Linked DNA regions of Drosophila melanogaster. The protein of the gene in region 4 interacts with the protein of the main gene of each other region in a pairwise test. Each region holds a gene or a part of one and is shown on either strand. Other genes may lie near its edges. The genes, in order: saturn, ECSIT, CG2694 and Sec22.

The links.
Region 1: the proteins of Sec22 (region 4) and saturn interact in a two-hybrid assay, tested with the Drosophila melanogaster proteins (one large-scale study listed by BioGRID).
Region 2: the proteins of Sec22 (region 4) and ECSIT interact in a two-hybrid assay, tested with the Drosophila melanogaster proteins (one large-scale study listed by BioGRID).
Region 3: the proteins of Sec22 (region 4) and CG2694 interact in a two-hybrid assay, tested with the Drosophila melanogaster proteins (one large-scale study listed by BioGRID).

What each region holds. Positions count from the first base shown.
Region 1 is NT_037436.4:14,201,443-14,204,886, reverse strand, and holds saturn (saturn), read right to left. Parts: upstream 1,565-3,444; 5' UTR 1,454-1,564; coding exon 1,235-1,453; intron 1,176-1,234; coding exon 678-1,175; 3' UTR 593-677; downstream 1-592.
Region 2 is NT_033777.3:5,854,921-5,858,555, reverse strand, and holds ECSIT (ECSIT), read right to left. Parts: upstream 1,972-3,635; 5' UTR 1,886-1,971; coding exon 656-1,885; 3' UTR 642-655; downstream 1-641. Other genes in the region: CG2017 (uncharacterized protein), read left to right, coding at 1-244; disp (dispatched), read left to right, coding at 2,648-2,803, 3,205-3,635. UniProt on the Drosophila melanogaster protein: As part of the MCIA complex, involved in the assembly of the mitochondrial complex I. Involved in the innate immune response; promotes the production of antibacterial peptides.
Region 3 is NC_004354.4:2,712,360-2,718,154, reverse strand, and holds CG2694 (uncharacterized protein), read right to left. Parts: upstream 4,077-5,795; 5' UTR 4,026-4,076; coding exon 3,945-4,025; coding exon of another isoform or gene 3,918-3,944; exon of another isoform or gene 3,868-3,917; coding exon 3,702-3,867; intron 3,645-3,701; coding exon 3,549-3,644; intron 3,379-3,548; coding exon 2,875-3,378; intron 2,818-2,874; coding exon 2,722-2,817; intron 2,642-2,721; coding exon 1,450-2,641; intron 1,390-1,449; coding exon 1,047-1,389; 3' UTR 501-1,046; downstream 1-500. Other genes in the region: CG2701 (uncharacterized protein), read left to right, coding at 1-452; CG2685 (uncharacterized protein), read left to right, coding at 4,414-4,477, 4,534-4,659, 4,724-4,821, 4,885-5,795.
Region 4 is NC_004354.4:804,315-808,880, reverse strand, and holds Sec22 (secretory 22), read right to left. Parts: upstream 2,806-4,566; 5' UTR 2,397-2,805; coding exon 2,316-2,396; intron 2,249-2,315; coding exon 2,139-2,248; intron 1,913-2,138; coding exon 1,611-1,912; intron 1,528-1,610; coding exon 1,379-1,527; 3' UTR 681-1,378; downstream 1-680. Other genes in the region: CG13358 (uncharacterized protein), read left to right, coding at 3,984-4,566.

The DNA.
Region 1 (3,444 bases), on a different chromosome or scaffold from region 4:
ATTAGTAATGTTGAAAGGTCTTTGATGATGGTACTGTTTTTCTTTTTTATCTGGCAACTCTTTTACAATCCCATACACTTTCCCATGCAACTTGTTTGCTGCCAACATGTTGTTCGGCGATACTAAAAACTAAAACTATGCAACATCTACAAATCTGGCCAACAATAAACATTCTCATGTACCTATTAGATAGATGGCAATTACCTAAAACCGAAGCCAAATTGGCGACAGACGTACTTTCAAGCCGTTTTCAGCTGCCAAATAATTCAAATACATGCAGGGGGAAAAAAACGGGAAATTGTCGCCAGGTCTGCCAAATAGCCAAGAAATGCAAGCCAACTGCCAAACAATGTTGGGCCCCCGCAAAGTGGCTTGGAAACTGCCTCGATTAGGCAGCCGGCCACCTTTAAGGCTAATTGAGGGCCAACCACGTAGACTTGGGAACTATGCACGGGAAAACAGAGATACACAATGAAATAGGTGAAAATTACCACGAAAGACAATTGGAAATCACTTAAAGCCAAAACGCTTGCGAAGGCAAGATGTCAAGGTTGGCATAGGGCTATAATGAATTACGATCACAACAAGTTTTATACAAATCACTATGAATGGTTTATTACAAATTCGAGCACTACAATTTTAATGAAATTTCAATATGAAAATTCCTGAAAATAGATCTAGAGCTTCCATCCCGTTTTCGTGTTTGAAGGAGATGACCGTTTACGCATATTTCTATTTTCCACGGATACATTATTTTCAGCTATAATCTTCGTGGGTTTCGCTATATTAATGTGCTTGGTCTCATCTTTGGCTGGTTTTCCCTGATCTGTTAGAGCAAATCGCACCCTATTTTTTACTACGGAATCTTCTCGAGGTTCGGCGTCTGGAATCACAGGCTCCGGTTTATTTTCTTCTCGTACTAGCGCTTTAGTTTCACTAATTTTGTCGAATTCTGGGGGGAAAGGATCAAAGATTTCTTTAAATTCTGAAAGTTTGTCATCATTTGCGTTGGACTCTGGTTCATCCAAGTAATTAATATTACTCCTAATATCATCAGAAATCGCTAGCGGCGGCTTGGGTATTACGGTCGAATTTAGGGCTTCTTGCAGCATGGCCATATCCTTGGTTACAAACTTAACACGTTTTCTCAGTGACTCAATCTCCGACATAGGCACCTAGAACAAAACCCTATTAAGCCCCTTCTACTGTACGTTTTCCCCCCCCTTTAACTTACATCGTTCCATTTGTGTTTGAATCTTTTAAATACAAGTAAGAGGAGTACGATAAGGACAATCGTAAGAATCACCAGGTAAGTTGGTGATCTTTCCAATACCAGAAGTTTCAACAAATCAATGCCTTTAAGAGTAAACCAACAAGCCGATGGCCAAGAATTGCAATACGGCGATATCTTTACCGATGTTTCCAAATCAACTTTCTGACGATAGTTCCACATTTTGGGCCTGACTTTTTGTTAGTTTCTATCTGTAATTTAGGTTGTATTAAAACGGATAACCAACCGGTGATGTTATCACTTTTATAATGTGATTTGAAAAGTATTTTCTTTGCTTGCTAGACTGAATTCAAATGACAACATTTAAAATGTTCCTATGTGGAAAAATATTCGTTCTTTTAAAGAAAATAATTGTAGAATTCCACTCATTCCCTTTCCTTTTTCAGATAAAAATCTTTAACCTCTTCCCACAATTTTCCCTAATTGTTCTCGGTTCTTTAATGCATTTTCCCCCACCATTTCCCAGTGCAGCTTTTTTGAATGCCAAGTGCAGAGAGTGGGAAAAACATGTTCCCAGCAGCGGAGCAAAAACAAAGGCATTTGCATGACAAATTCAAGTCGGCCCAAGTTGTAGTTGCTTCGAAAAGAGTAGAAGCCATGGGAAGAACATCAAGGTCCGGAAAGTTGACAGAGCAACCACAATTTATAGCCTGCGTGGGGTTAACTGATTTGCACACGCCTTAAATGCAGACGATTTTAATTACTTTATCCGATTTCGTGCATAATTTTCGAAGAAATGTTTATGAAAAAAATTTGTTTAATAATTGAAATGCTAATCGATATTGATCGATGCTCTAGTAATGATCTAACTATTACAGCCTTAGTTTAATGATCAAAATGATCAAAAGTATATAACAGTACATAACGATACGAGATAAATGTGTCAGAATCGATAACATCAGCAGACTGAGTTTTATTTTGGGTCAAATTTTGTTCGCGACTTGACAAAAGTGCCGGCCTAAATTCTGAAGAGTTAACAATTGCGGCAAGTTAAACCTGTTTCTGGAACCCTCTCACTTCACTTCCTCCGATCGGATGAGCGAAAAAATAAATTCCAACAGCATGACAACCCCATCGAGTCAGCCAACTTGTAAGCCACATCAAGAGGGAAGGAGTTGGCTAAATTGAGGGGAGACAAGAAAAGACCCGCATCTTCTACCTTCAACCTTTTCGCTCGGTCCCCGAGAAAAGTTCACAAAAGCGGCCAAACTACTTTTGGCTCAAGAAGATGGCAGCAGGAAGCACGGTCGCCAGTTGACAAGCAGAACTGCCAAAGGAAGTTATATAAATTGCAGCAGATTCCATCTTGGAGCTCTCTCATTGTACTAACATAAATCTCATGCTGTTAATCTGATATATTTATTTTACTTTCGTTTTGGTTTCAGTTGCAATTAAGTCCCAGAAAAGAGAGCAATTTTTTTTTCGGTTGTAACTTTTATGACAGCCTCCCCCGCCGGCAATAATCATAAATTTTAGTTTTTGGGGGTGGCAGCGTTAGGAAAGCTCTTGAAAATTGCCCAATTGAACATCTATGTAGTTGTACAACAATTGAAACAGGCGAATAAGATGGGAAAAACTGATAACTAATTTAGGCAGAAGAAAAACAAGCAATTGAGCAAACCAGCTAATGGAAAATTGGGAAAAAAACCAAAGGCAACTTATAGCTGAAATTAACAATCTTAGATAAGCGAAGTCATGGAAACGCTTGTGAAAACATCAAATGTGATGAGGACAAATACTGAATTAAAAACTATATATATATATTTTTTAAGGAGCAGTGCACCAATAATTTTTTTAATTAAGATAAATTATAAATATTTTTATTTACAAATCAAAAAACCAAAACCAAAATGGAGCAAGAATGGGGGTTATGATTTATATGAAGCTCTACATGAAACCCCGAAAGAAATTATATTCAAGGGTGCTTACTGTCTCATGGATCCCCAACGACGCTGGGATAAACTATCAGGATTGCTGTAAGAAAAATTTTTATCAATTGGGATATCTAATAATAGTCTTATTCGGTTCAGTTTTAACCGCAATAGAAACATAGCAATATAGCAATCTTTCTAATCATCTTATTTTCTTTTATATAAGTTCATATATAGAATGAAATTTACGCCTAATTTTCCAAATATTTATATAGGCAGTTA
Region 2 (3,635 bases), on a different chromosome or scaffold from region 4:
GGCCATCTATGTCGGCTTCCAAACCACAGTCCACATAGGCAGCATTCGCCAGACGGCCGTCATTCGGGGCATTATGGGCGGCGAGCGACTGGGCACAAACGATTGTGCTTCGGTGATGTTCGAGTTCGTCGGCCACCCGGAGTACGTGCGTCCTGGAATGCGCATCCTGTTCCGCGAGGGCACCAGCAAAGGAATCGGAGTTGTCACGCAGGTGTTTCCGGTCAACAAGACAGGCATAAAGTAGAGAAGCGGGCCAGATGGATAGTTCCAATGACATATCTATATATCTCAAACAAAGATGACATGTACATATACTTAATTAGCAATTAGAGGGAGGCGTTAAATCTTAGGCAGATCTTCTGTACACTTAGTTTCGGGTTCTGTGATTTTTCGTTTAAGCTCGGCTCACAATCGGATGTTGTGAGTAATCCTTCTCAATTAACCTTATTTCATTAAAATCCACCCCAAAATGCATACAATGTTGCTTTCAATTCGCGTCCGAGCCAAAGAGTATAAATAATTACCGAAGTATTAATTTTTTTCCTTCTAGCAGATGTACATATATATGTACATATGATCAAAACCGACTAACTTTAAGCAACATTTACCATCAATTCTATGGTATACAAAGACGAAAAAGTGCTCAACAATTTGTTTATTTCTGTCTACTGCTAATGTGCTCATCTTGACTACTGTTATCACTTGTTGCCGGGACACTGGCGCCACCTTCAATTTCCTCCGCCTTGGCTGGCACTTCGGATGTGAACCGGAAGAGGACGGGCACCTCTCCTATGGAGGGATTTCCGTTCGCTTCCAACAGGCGAATCCACGAGAGCAATGAGTCCTTTGTGGAGGTGCCTGTGGCACAGATGGCCATAATGGTTCCGTCGTCCTGTTGGTGGACAGAGCGCAGCTTTCCCAGCTGGTTGTGTCGCCTTGGTGGAGCACGACCAAAGAAGGGTACTTCGATGTGGGAGACATCGTCCTCGTCCAGCTGCCGCTCATCTAATTCAGACAGGAACTCAGAATCTGCATCAGCGCGCAGGGTAAAGTAGTTGATCCGGCGATTCCTAAGCCATATGTGAAAGGGTCCCTCGATGTACAGAGCTTTCTGGCGAGAGTGCTCCCGCAGCAGTTTCTCCTGCTCGGGACTCATTCCGCTCACGATCCACGTATCGTCAATGGCATCCTTCAGCTCGCTGGTCTCGAAAACCGTGATTTTGGACCGCAGGTCGACCGTGCACATCCGCTCTAGCGCCAGCTTGGCCATTTCCAATGTATCATCCGGAACAGGATCGGGCAGTGGCCACGGTGATAGGTTCTTAAACTTTGGCATCCAGTACATCATGCGCCAATACTTGCGCAGTGGATGTCCCTGCCTGCCAAACACATTAAGCAGCATCGCCTCCATCTCGTGATCGGGCATCACCCCGCAATCTTCCATCTGCTCAAGCAGATCAATGATACACTGCTGCTGTTTGGGGTAGTGCATGAACTCTGCCTGGAACATGTTGGTGGGTATGAACTTGCCCTTGGGCATCACGTTGATCAGGGCCTTGTAGACCTCCAAGTCTCTTTCCACCCCGAAATCCGCCATATTCTTGAGTGCCGCGTAGATGAACTCCACATGGTTCCGACGGTGGACGTCGCGCTCCTGGAATATCTCCACCATGGTCAGGTAGCTGTTTTTCGTCCTGTCCTGGGCGGCGGCAAAGGGGTTCCTTAAAGCCGGCAGGTTTTTGGTGCCGGGTTTTTGTGCCCTGGGATTTGGATTCGGGTTCTGTTTCGGATTTCCCTCGTCCGTAGCGTAGTTTCGAAAGCGGCTGACCAGCGAATGGCCTCCATTGCCGTGCAGCCGGAGCAGGCATTGTGCGCGGCGCAGCATTTTTTATTTATAATTAATTAATTGAATAAATTTGCAAATACGATTACAAAACATTGCACAAGCTGCGGAACTAGTTCGCGTTTTGCAGCACTGCTGCTGCAACATATGTTTTAATAGTGCCGATAGTCTAGCGTATTTAGCCAAATTTGGTAAATTCTAGGGCGAAAAATTGTATTTAGTTTCGGCTGTACCCAAAGATTTTCAAGCTTAAATAGTGTCATGACCGTAATACACGCTTAAAGTCATACGCTAGTAACAAAAGTTGAAGTGAATATTGCATAAGCTCATTGTGACTACCTTCACGAATCTCTTCCTTCGGAGAACAGCTGTTTGTCTGGCTTAGGGCCATCATCACTGGTGACTGAGTTGCTCAACACTGTATTAACTCAGTGTATCCTTTGTGCTGCTTTTTGTTGTTATTTCACCGTTTTCTGCGTTATCCTTATTCGCATAGTTTTCGGTTGTTTTTCTGTTGTTTAAGTTAGTTCCGAACCCTGAGTTATTTGCACGGGCGCGCGCCTACATAAAAATGCAATCCAACAAGCCGATCTCTGCGGCGGAGGCCTGACCAGCAGGCAGTATCTATAACAGAAGCAAAACAATAGACTTTGGCTTGGTCCCAAGGAGCACCCACCAGCCCAACGTTATTCGAGACTTCCAGCCGCCAAGGATGCACTGAAGGGAAGCGGAAACCCAAGGAGCATTTGATGTTCCCGCAATGCGAAGAGGGTAAAGAGGATTCGGGCATCACATTCTACTGACATGTTGTGCTTCGACTCGGAGAGGATGAACTGGTACTACCACGTCCTGGCCAGGCGTCCCTACCTGGTGGTCGTCTCCATTGCTGTCTACTGTGTCGCTTGCATCATCGTGGCCCTCGTCCTGAACAAGCTGCCGGACTTCAGTGATCCCACCTTGGTTTGTCCTATTAGATTTGTCCAAAACATGTTCACTGCTTGATATTTGGAGAATATATCTTATCTTATTTTACAATTATTTTTTAAAATATTGAGCACATGGAAATAATCCGAAAATGTCTAAATGATATTATTTTATTTAAATTTCGTTATATATCTATTTTTTTTAAATATTAAGAAGTTAAAATATTTTAAATATTCACAGAATTGCTATAAGAAACTACAGGATTACTTGTATACAAACTATTCCTGTATTATATTTTCATTGTTATTATGTTATTGTTGTAAAAATTGTGGAAAATAATAAGATTAATTTCTCACTAATATGACTTATTTGATCACTTTATAATGTGATTATTTGTCATGATTAATATTTATGATTCAACATTTATTTCACTTTAGGGCTTCGAAACCCGCGGCACCAAAATTGGAGAACGACTGACGGCCTGGTACAACCTGCTGCAAGAGACTGACCACCATGGTGCTCTTTTCTCAAATCCATCGGATCTGTGGGAGAGGAGACGGGTAGAGCAGGGCTATGTGGAGACGAAGCTGCATCCGAATCACAGGCGACGCAAAAACAAGCACAAGAACAGAAACAAGAACAAGCGACGCAAGGAACAAAATCAAAGCAGCCACGAGCATCACGATGTGGCGCAGAAGATGATGCAGTTCAAAAAACGGCTGAAGGCTACTAGTTCTCCCTCTCCAAATCTCGGCTTTGACACCTGGATCGGGGACAGTGGAGTATTTCGCGACTACGAGATTACAAACGACAGCGCTTCCTCCTCTTTGGAACCCACGCGACGCACTGAGCAAATCGAATATGGCCA
Region 3 (5,795 bases), 1.9 Mb from region 4:
CGCTCGAGAGGGGCGAGTATGACGACGAGTACGACGACAGCTACGAGGCTCAAAACGAGGGTCAAGCGCCGCCTGTGAGTCTGCTGCGCGGAAGGCTCCAGGAAGCCGCCTCCAGTTCGGCGTACAACGCACAGGATGAGCTGGAGAACGACGACGAGGAGAGCTCCGGCGGCCATTCGGACCCGGAGCCGTCGATGCGCACCAACAGAGACTTTTGCGAGAATCCAGAGGTGATACGCGCCCGCTACGAGCAGCGCCAGTTATCCAAATACGGCCAAAAGAGTGGTGGACATGGAGCGAGTCCCTCTGTGGTCGGAGCACCCAAGGGCCAGGGGCAGTCCCAGCAGACGCAGCGCAGTCGTGGCCAAAAGGAGGCCCACAAGTCCACTCGTGCCAATCATAATCGCAAGGCAGGAGCAGCCTTCAAGCGCAGCAAGGGCATGATGGGTTAGGCGCAGCGCAGCTCGATAGAGGGGATTTAGATTGAAATAAAATTATCTAAAATTGGTGTATCTGTATTTGCATTTGTATAATTGTCGTTTTCATTTTTGGGGTGCCATTAACAAGAAGTTGGCAAACAGAAAATTCTCACAAAAACAAACAAACAATGCCTTCCATTTCTTCAAACATGCGACTATGATGGTTTCTCATATTAAATTGTTTTGATTTCTCATTTGATTCCGTAGAAAAAAAACAGCGACATGCTATTTCAATAGCCACCAGCGTTCCGACGAGACTTACTGTAGTAGTATTCACATGTAATTTGTTAGTTAAACATAAAAGTATATACTAGTTAACACGTAGACTAGCTGACGAACGCCTTCTCGGGATTCTGGGGCTCCGTGGAGCCCCCCATCCCATATAGCGCCATTGTACAGGTTATAGAAGTTTGTATAAAATGTAGGTAGGTATATAAAGTAGGTCACAGCGTGTTCGTTTTCACTGGAGGCTGCTCCATTTTGATGGGGCCGCCTTCCATGGTTGTTCATATAGTACTTATAAAATATATTCTTCAAGTTGTGTGCTAGCCGCTAGACAGCTGCCAGCTATTCCGTGGCGGCTGTCATCTTCGCGAACATTTCGTTGAGTAGCGCCATCTTCGAGGAGTGTGTGACGCCCCCCTCCGCGCCCAGCTTCAAATACTTGTCACGGATGAAACACTTGAACGGTGTCATCGTCCGATCGGAACGGGCGCCCTCGTGCATGTTCGCCTTGCTAACGGGCTTCACGCTCACCTCGAACTGGCAGTAGTAGCAGCGTATGTTGTACGATTTCAAGTCGGCCAAGCCGTAGGAGGAACGGCTGCACATGCTGCACGTATACATGAAGCTAGCTATGCACTCCATGAGGGCGGGCACCTCCGGAAAGGCCATCTTCGCCTGGTAGGTCCTGAGGAATGGGCACAGATAAGTGATGACACATTAAATGTATAGAAAGTAATGATCTTACCATCTGCGGCAGTTGTCGCCGTGACCCAACTCCCGGTTGAACAGGAAAGCCGCCACATGGCACATCTCGTGCAGCAGGAGATAGATAAGCTCGGCCGCAGTGTCTATGCTGTGCAGAAGCAGGATCTGTGCTGTGCGCCTGCCGGAGGCGTCGAAGCCAAGCTCGCATTTCCAGCGCTTCTTCATTGCGTGCTTCCAAACAATGGGCACCTGCAGGCCACAGTGGAAGACCGCGTGATTGAACATGTTGAACAGAACCTTGGCCAGTGCCACCTTAGATTGCTGGAAATTGGTCCGCCGGAAGGTGAGGGCCAGCGGATGGCACATGTTGAGCGAGACTGACGGTCTGAGCGACTGGACGAAACCGTAGAAATGTGGGTGCCGCTCCAGGCGGGCTACACAGCTCTTGTGGCGGCGGCAGTTGGTGGCTAGTTGCTTTTGGCTGGGAAGCTCGCTTAGATCAATGGGCTCCTTGACAGAGTCTGGTGTTTTCTTCTGAAAGCAGTCCAAATTCACCTGGATTATAGAGTCATCCATGTGCTTAGTCTGGAGCTCATTCACGGTCGGTGTGTAGGTATGCGATAAATTCAAGTTGGAGCAAATGGATGTCGGCGTTGTTTCCTGCCATATTCGTGACCTGGCCGATGGAGTAACTGGGCTTGGTGAGGACCTAGGTGATGGATTGGTAACAAGACTGGTCGGTACGTACACATCCATCTCAATATCCCCCCGATCCATATTGTATTCCGACGGATCGAAGAGCTTGCGACGTGATGGAATCAGACCCAAAAACTTGTGCATCTGCGTCTTGAGTTCCTTATCGTCTTCCAGAACGATATTGGGCTGTGGTTTATCCCTAATGATCACGATTTTGCCGCCCAATTCGACATAGACCATCGGAGGTGTTGCCTCCGGCGACGAGCGGCTGCCATCGGGGCTGAAGGCTAAGCTGGTGTTTCTAAAGCTACGCCGTTTGCGCTCCGTCCACTTGAGCTGATCGAAATCTTCTCCCTCATACTCATCGTCGTCGGCATCCAGTGACACCTCGTCGGAGTCCTCCTCGCCATCGCCCTTCGACTGGGAGGAGGAGGAGTAGTCAAACTGCTGGTTCGGACGTGAGACCACAACACGACCACTGCGCGTCACCACGGGTTGATTCGAGGAGATGTTCATCTCGTTCAGATTCTGGTAAGCTGCGTAGTAGCAATTTAGTAAATGGTTTAGCTAGAGCAGGTGCCCCTAAGGTTGCAGATCAATTCGACCTCTTACTCACAAATCTTTTTGGCCAACACATCGCCCTTGGTCTGCGGCGATCTGCGCTTCGCGCCCAGTTTGTGTGTCTTCATGTCGGTTTCAATGGCACTAGGATCTATTGCATTCGCAGTGTTATAATTATTATTGTTATTACTGATTGATCGGCACTCACTGCTGCTGCCCGAATCAAGTGAGAGATCGATGTATGAGGAGTCCTCGGTGAACTCCTTGCGCAGTTCTTCGAAGTCGGAGGAGTTACAGAGCTCGGACGAGTGAAGGAAGCTGCACGCCGTAGCTGAGGAATCATCGGACACTAGTATTATGCTTCCGCTGTCGCTGTTGACGGTCGCAACTGAAGCATTTTGATGGGCTTCCACCTGGGGCTGGGATTGGGGCGTCTTGCACGGCAACTTCAAATGAACCAGTGCCAATTCGGATTGACTGGCCGGCATGGGCGCTGGGTCGCAGCCAATCTGTGCGTTGTCATGGTCCTCTAGTTTCCAGTCCTGGAGCAGGCCGGCCAGAAGGATGTCCTCCGAATTGGCACTTGGCTTCGCGGACATTTCGAATGCGAAATCGAATTCGTTATTTTGTTTGCGGCTTTGACTTTTTTCGATTTGAGGTAGCGGCGTTATTTTCCTATCGTATATCGACACAAATTGCTCGAATGCCAGTGCTGAAAAACAACGGCACGAGAAGCTCTGTAAACGGCAATGTTGACTGATAGCGGGAAAGTTTGAGGCCGGTTATTGGGATGACTTAAAAAGCACAAGCACAGCTAGTTGCCTGCATGAATTTAGCTTGGGCTGCCCGATATCCCATATTCCCATAACCAGACCCACTTACCTTTTTTGGCGTTCGGCTCGTCGTCCCCGCAGCCTGGCCAGAGACGCTTCACGGCCAACTTCGGTGTCTTCCCCTCGCCATGAATGGAACCAGGACCTGCATCATGAAAACGAAATGAAAATGCAGGTGTCAAGTAGATAACATTGTTATTACCTATGTCCCACAGCTTGCGGCTGTGCAGGTTCTGCAATTTTGTGCTCTCCGTGGTGGGCACGTCCTTCTGGCCCTCTCCCGGCGTGGAGGTAAGGAAATCGTCTGAAATCCTTATCAGCGCGCCCGGTATCTGATTGGGTGTGAATAGGACATGGGATTGCGACGCCTTGCACGCGGTTACATGAAATCAACCAAATGGGCTTAGGATTGACTGACCTGGCTGGCGACTGGTTCACATCCTACCTGTACGCCACTATTGTTCAACTGTGCATTCATCCTTTCGTCCGGAATCTTTAACTGCTGTGCAGAGCTCTCGAATGCCATCGTACTGGCAATTTCGCGTCTGTTGCCGCGTTACCTATGTGGCGGTAATAATCGTCTATCGTTTTTCTAATCCTGGCTAGTGATGAAAAACATCGGAGAAAACTTTTGAGCGTATGGGATGTTAGCTATTCCCCGCCAAATTTTGTTGGTCACACTTCGAGCTCTAGTGCTTACTGTTCTGTTTTTATCGATATCAGCCTGCGCGTGTATCGGCCTATCGAGCTGCAAACGAATAAATAAATAAAAATATAAATAAATCAATTGAAAGTGATATTATAAAAGCAAATTAGGACGTTGGGCAGGAAAAAAACGCCGGTAACAATATTGCAGCGCCGGCGTTTAGGTGAAGTCATTCGTTTAGTTGCAGCAACAAGAAATAGCCAGCAAGATGGGACGCCGCTCCATAAACACCACGAAGAGTGGAAAGTACATGAATCCCACGGACCAGGCGCGTAAGTATGATCCTTTTTAGCTCGATATGTTGAATCCACCATGCTGCACCTTTCAGGCAAGGAGGCCCGCAAGAAGGAGCTCAAGAAGAACAAGAAACAGCGCCAAATGGTGCGGGCCGCCGTTTTGAAGAACAAGGATCCTTCACAGATACTTGAGGAGATGGAGAAGATCGACGAGATGGGTGAGTAGTCCATCGAGCCTGCAGGATTCGCGTCAGCCACTCATGCAGCGTCTACAATTTGCAGAGTACAACGTTCTGCAACCATCGCCGCTGAACGAGAAGGTGCTGCGCGACAAGCGCAAAAAGCTGAAGGAAACATTCGACCGCGTAATGCGACTCTATGTAAGACCAACTCGGCACGATAATAGTGTAGTCCACCTAACAACTGAAATATCCATCTTCCAGCACAATGACGAGCCGGAGCACTGGGCGGACCTCAAGCGCAAGGAGGTGGAGTATGAGAAGAAGCGCCTGAAGAAGCAGCAGTACTACGAAAGCGTTAAGCACGCCCAGAGCGTCCAGATTGACGAAATTCCACTGCCCGCTCCGGTGTCTGCCGTGTCAGGCGGTTCTACCGAAACGACTGGCGGATCGGTGGTTGCGGGATTCGGCGCATCCGTTGTCATACGCCTTCCCCCACCGCCCATGACAATGGCACTGCCGCCTTATGCTCCAGGCGCTCCACCAGGCGTGTCCAGAAATAGCGATTTAGCCAGCGAGGCGCAAGTGGAGAAATCGAAGGAGAACGAGCAAAAGGATTGGCTGGGTGTCCCGCCGGGACCGCCGCCAGATCTGTTTGCCTTTTCCGAACTCAATTCCGATGCCGAGGGAAATACTGACTACGATGGTGAGGGCGAGGAGGAGGAGCCAGAGCCATTGAAGAAGGGCAAGGATAAAGAGAAGGACAAGAACAGCGAGGCCACCGAGCCAAATAACCAAAATATCGACGACTTCATGAAGGAAATGGAGCATGTGCACAAGCGTAAGCATCGAAAACTGGCGGCTAAAGAGGACGAGGCCGACAAAAAGCGGGAGGAGGACGATGGGAAAGATATAGATAAGATAGAGGAACGAACATCTGACTCCGATAAGAGAACCGCCAGCAGTACGGACGATGAGGACGACGATGACCAGGATGAGGATGAAAATATGCCCGAAGTGCCGACCAAGCCAGCATCAGTCAAATCATCTACAGCGACACCCGCGCCAGCTCCTCCGACAGCGCCCACATTGCCGACTATTCCGCTGCCACCAGCGTCGTCTGTGCCTGCGCCGCCACAGCTGCCACACCTACCGCCAATTCCTAATCTTGGGCC
Region 4 (4,566 bases):
TATTTTTTAAAGAATTTTGAGCCTAGTGCGGGCTATCAACCAAGCATACCCATCTATTGTATATCTAAATAGTTCCAGTTACGCCCCGACCCGCCCCGCCACGCCCGACTCGTATGGTTTTCGCATAAACTAAAACTTCGATTTTATAGACCGCGTAATTTATTTTCGATCCCACTCACCACCAGAGCTTCAGCAGAACCACAGCCTAGTACACGGAAGCCAGAGGAGGTTGCAAAATTCGGTAGATGATTGCTCTTCTCCCCAGTTAATTAATTATTGCAGACCATTTCACACATCCCCCCCCACAAAGCATATGCATTCATATGTAGTTATGTAGAGAGCGTATATATGTATTCGGATTCGATATTTCACAAAACTATACACACCAAATTACGATATAGCAGTGTATATGGCAACAGCGCATTTTTTTCCTAATTGTAAAGATTTGATATTACAAATTTATATGCGCTGAGACGCAACGAAAACGGACATTTAGCGGGACGATATGAGACCGAATGGGATCGGGATCGGATCAGATCGAGAAATTCATTGAGAAGAATCGTAATTCGAAGGCTTGCAAGTGGATATAAACTATAAAGGCGAATGTATCACATCACACTCAGTGAATCGAAAAATATATAAAGGGAAATTATCGATTAAAACTAAACCAAAAATCAGATGCAGTTTCTATCTTTCGGGCTTGGGTAGTGCATCGAACACAGTTTTGCCTTCTCTTTATTAAACAATATAAATTTATTTATTTGCCTTAATTTTACACATATAAATTGCCTAAAACTGTTATTGTTTATTTCCCTTTCTCTTCTTTTCTTTTCTTTCGGTTCGCTTGTTATCTTTTCTTTTTCTTTTGTTTTTTGCGGTGTTTTTGCAGCTTGTATCAAGCACTCCGCCGGATTCGGATTCGCTATGCAGCGATCCATCTACAATCTAGACATTTATACACACACACACGGATCGACGCTCATAATTTACAGATTTGGGTCGTAGTCAACCGACTTGGCTCAAAGGTCGTCTAAACTAAACCCGATTCGTAATCAAATATTTAGAAAACCTGCGCAACGGAAGCGCGAGGCGAAATGAAATGGGAGTTAATAATTAATGGAATCCCAGACCGTAAATAACGCAAAGGTAAGTTAATATTAGAAGTAAAACAATCCTCGGGAGCGATGCGTATGCTGGTAGGGGGTTTCGCTATTCACTTTTCGCTTGCCTATGATTCATAGATATGAATGAATATGGTGTGGTTGGTGGCGTGGAGTACAGGTGCACGCGTAATCTAAATGTCTTTTGGTCTTGCGTCCTTGACGCTTGACTCCAACAAAGAACGCGCCGCTCCGAGTGGCCATGGAACTGCTTGATATTACAGAACCCAGAAATACATGATGAACACTAGAAGTATCATGCCCAAGGCCATCGCCTTCACGTACATGGACTTTCGGTTGAGCAGCTTGGCGTCCTTCTTGTACTTCTGTGACATCATCGATAGGTTCTGGGTCTTGGTGTCGAGTTCTGGAAGGAAAAACGGGGTGAACGTCAGTTGAATCCCACAATCACGCGTAGATAGTCGCGTAGATAGTAGTAGTAGTAGTTACCCGCCAGCACTGTGCCACGTTGGAGCACGTCGTCAATGTTTTGCACCATGATGCGCTGCACATCCTGCAGCTGTGTGTTGATGTTGCTGATGTTGCGTCTGCGGTCCGTCAACTGTTTTTTCGCCTTCTGTATGTACACGTCAAACTCGATGAATGCGTATGGGCGAGTCACTGAGTTTACTCGCCGGCCGTAGTTAGCATGGAACTCCTGGGCCAGGTCCTCCAGGTAATTGAAGGCCAGTCGCTTTGAGTACATCTTGTCCACCATCACCAGGTAGCAGACGTCGTTCTCGATTAGGTAGCTGCAGGGAAAATGTGGAATATTTTAATTGGGGCGCCCATTGCATCTTCTGGCTTTCGCAAGCAGTGAGCGTTTAATTTAACTTCGTATCAAATTACATCTATACTCTTTGTTCCGAAACTAAATCAACTGTCACTGACTACCCGCGGAGCCGAGAAACCTTTGTACATGGTGTGATTTTAATGGTCTATGCCCTGGCAAAGGTGCCACGAATTGGGGCTACTCACTGGAATAGGTAGGGTCCGGTCTCGATACTGCATCGAGCCGGGGAGTGGGTACCCAGCTTGCGGAAGAGCATCTTAGCCTGGTTTTGGTAGTCCAGTATGCTGCGTCCGCTCTGAAAGTGAAAGCGACTTAGTTGCGGGAGCGGAACGGAATGCAACGTATTAGAAAGTGATGCACACGGGTACCTGCTCGTCATCCTGCATGGTCCCCACCAGAGGAAGGCCATCGATGACCCTGGCTATCATGGTCAGCAGCGCCATGGCTTCTGCTGTTCCTGGTTACGATTGCTCGCGGAACTACGGGGCTGCGTCTCAAGTCTTCTTGGCCACGGCTGCACTCTGCCGTCGCCTCCTTCCACTGGCTGCTACTTATTCCGATGTGGATCCGCTGCAGTCCAGTCACCAGTGTGTGAAGTTTGTGTCCGGTCGTCCTCTTCCACTTCTTGGATTTCACAACTCAGCCGATCGGTCGGTGCTTGCCGCAGTGCTCCTGCGATGCCCGGGACTTCCAAATGGACTCTGCCTCGAATCGGGAACGTTCGCTGCTACCATGAAAACTGTGTTGCAACGTCGCGGCGGGCGGGTGTCTGGGATTGGAGTGGATTGGAGGTTTCTGTGGATGTTTGTTGCAATGTAACCACGTCACCGGTATGTCCGTGTAAATATACCGAATGGTGCGAGGCATACCGAATACCGCAGAGTATCTCAGAGTACCGACCGCCAACGGTCACATTAACGGAAGTCCATTATACCATTCGTTTCTTCGTTTCTTTAAATGCACGATATGGAAATACGCTTTCAACTCGTTTTCAAGCCAGCATGCCCCTGAAAATGGCGCTTTCGAGTTTCCGGGCTTTCCCGCAAAGCTATTTTCCCAGGTCTACAGCTTTGACAGCTTGCGCTCTGCTGTAATGTGGAGTTTGCTTTTTGTATGCGTGTGTTGTACACAGGATGCGGATTAAGGATCCCCAGAAGTTCAATAGAAGTACAATACTTCGATTCACCCATGAACCTGGCGCCCAGATGCATTGTTCTATAGCTGTTTTGAGTCCCAATCCGACCAATTGGTCTTTGGTATTTTTATTTTTTATATTGGCAATCGAGTTGCGAATATATTATTTCAAATATTTAAATATAAATAAATATTTATTTAAATTATTAACCAACATAAATCGAAATCCCTGGCACGTCGCGCCGCTTTCGCAGACTCAAATCCGCTGGCGCAGATGCCGGAAGTGGGTTGGACCCCCCAAAAGTCGATGACCAAGCCCAACCGGTTCGCCCGCGAAGACCATCCTCTGCATGGACATCCACATCCATCCCCAGAAGGAAAAGTGGTTCGCCCGCGAAACCGGACTTGGACTTGAGGCAGGGACCCAACTATATGGACTACCTGTGGTACTTGGCGATGGAGCTGCGTGCGAATGTGCGTTTCAAGCGACCACCGGAAAAATCTTTGCACTGGGAAAATAATTCATATCGAATGCGACTTATTCATCTATGTATATTATGAATTGAAGCCCTGCAAGCGAATGCGAATAACCATTCCCATTTCTGCTCATACCGAAGAATGCTAAGATATACACAAGTTTGTGATCAAAGCGGGAAAGCTTATGACATTATTTAAAATGCTTGTACTGTGATCTTAAATCGAATGCATTTCAATTAACTCTGAGCCCATCGAGGACTGCGGTCAACCTATTTTCTCATCGTGTGATCGGATCACCCGCAGCGGAATGCGTGCGCTTCCGTTTTGCTCGGCTTGGCCTCCTTCCTCGTTCCGTTGAAAGCAGGTATGTATATATAAGCCACTGCTCCACCTAGAGGCTCCACAATACAAAGTCAGTCATGGCCGGGTCAGTTCGTGCGACGCTCCTGGGTCTCCTCATGCAGATCCTGTGCAATGGGCTGGCTGGTCAGCAGCTGCTCCTCACACGTCCCCAAAGGAGCCTGTTCGAGACTCCGCTGGGTCACGTAGAGCAAGTGGAACAAGTGCCCTCTTTAGGCTGGAATAGTGTTGGTAGTGGACTCGGAGTGGGCGAGTGGCCCTACAGCCCCGTTGGTCTCGGCCACATGAGCAAGGATGAGCTGCTGACCCTGCTGGAGGCCTGGAAGGAGGTCGAGGAGGAATCGGCCACAACAACGACTGCGTCGCCAGCGGATGCCAGCACACGTAGACCTCCTCCGCCTCCACTGCCACCACCACCACCTCCTCCGCCACGACCCACACCCATACCAGTCTCCGTTGCAATCCCGTCACCGGCTGTTCCGCCCTCCGGCACTCCCATTACAGTGCGGCTCCCAGCCTTTGTGCCTGTGCGTCTGGCTGCCGTGTTTACTCCGCTTGCCGGTGGACAAGCTGATAGTGCTGTTCCGTCTGCCAACGGAGTCGGAGGGGCTGGAGGAGATGATTTGTCCACCGATGACGTGA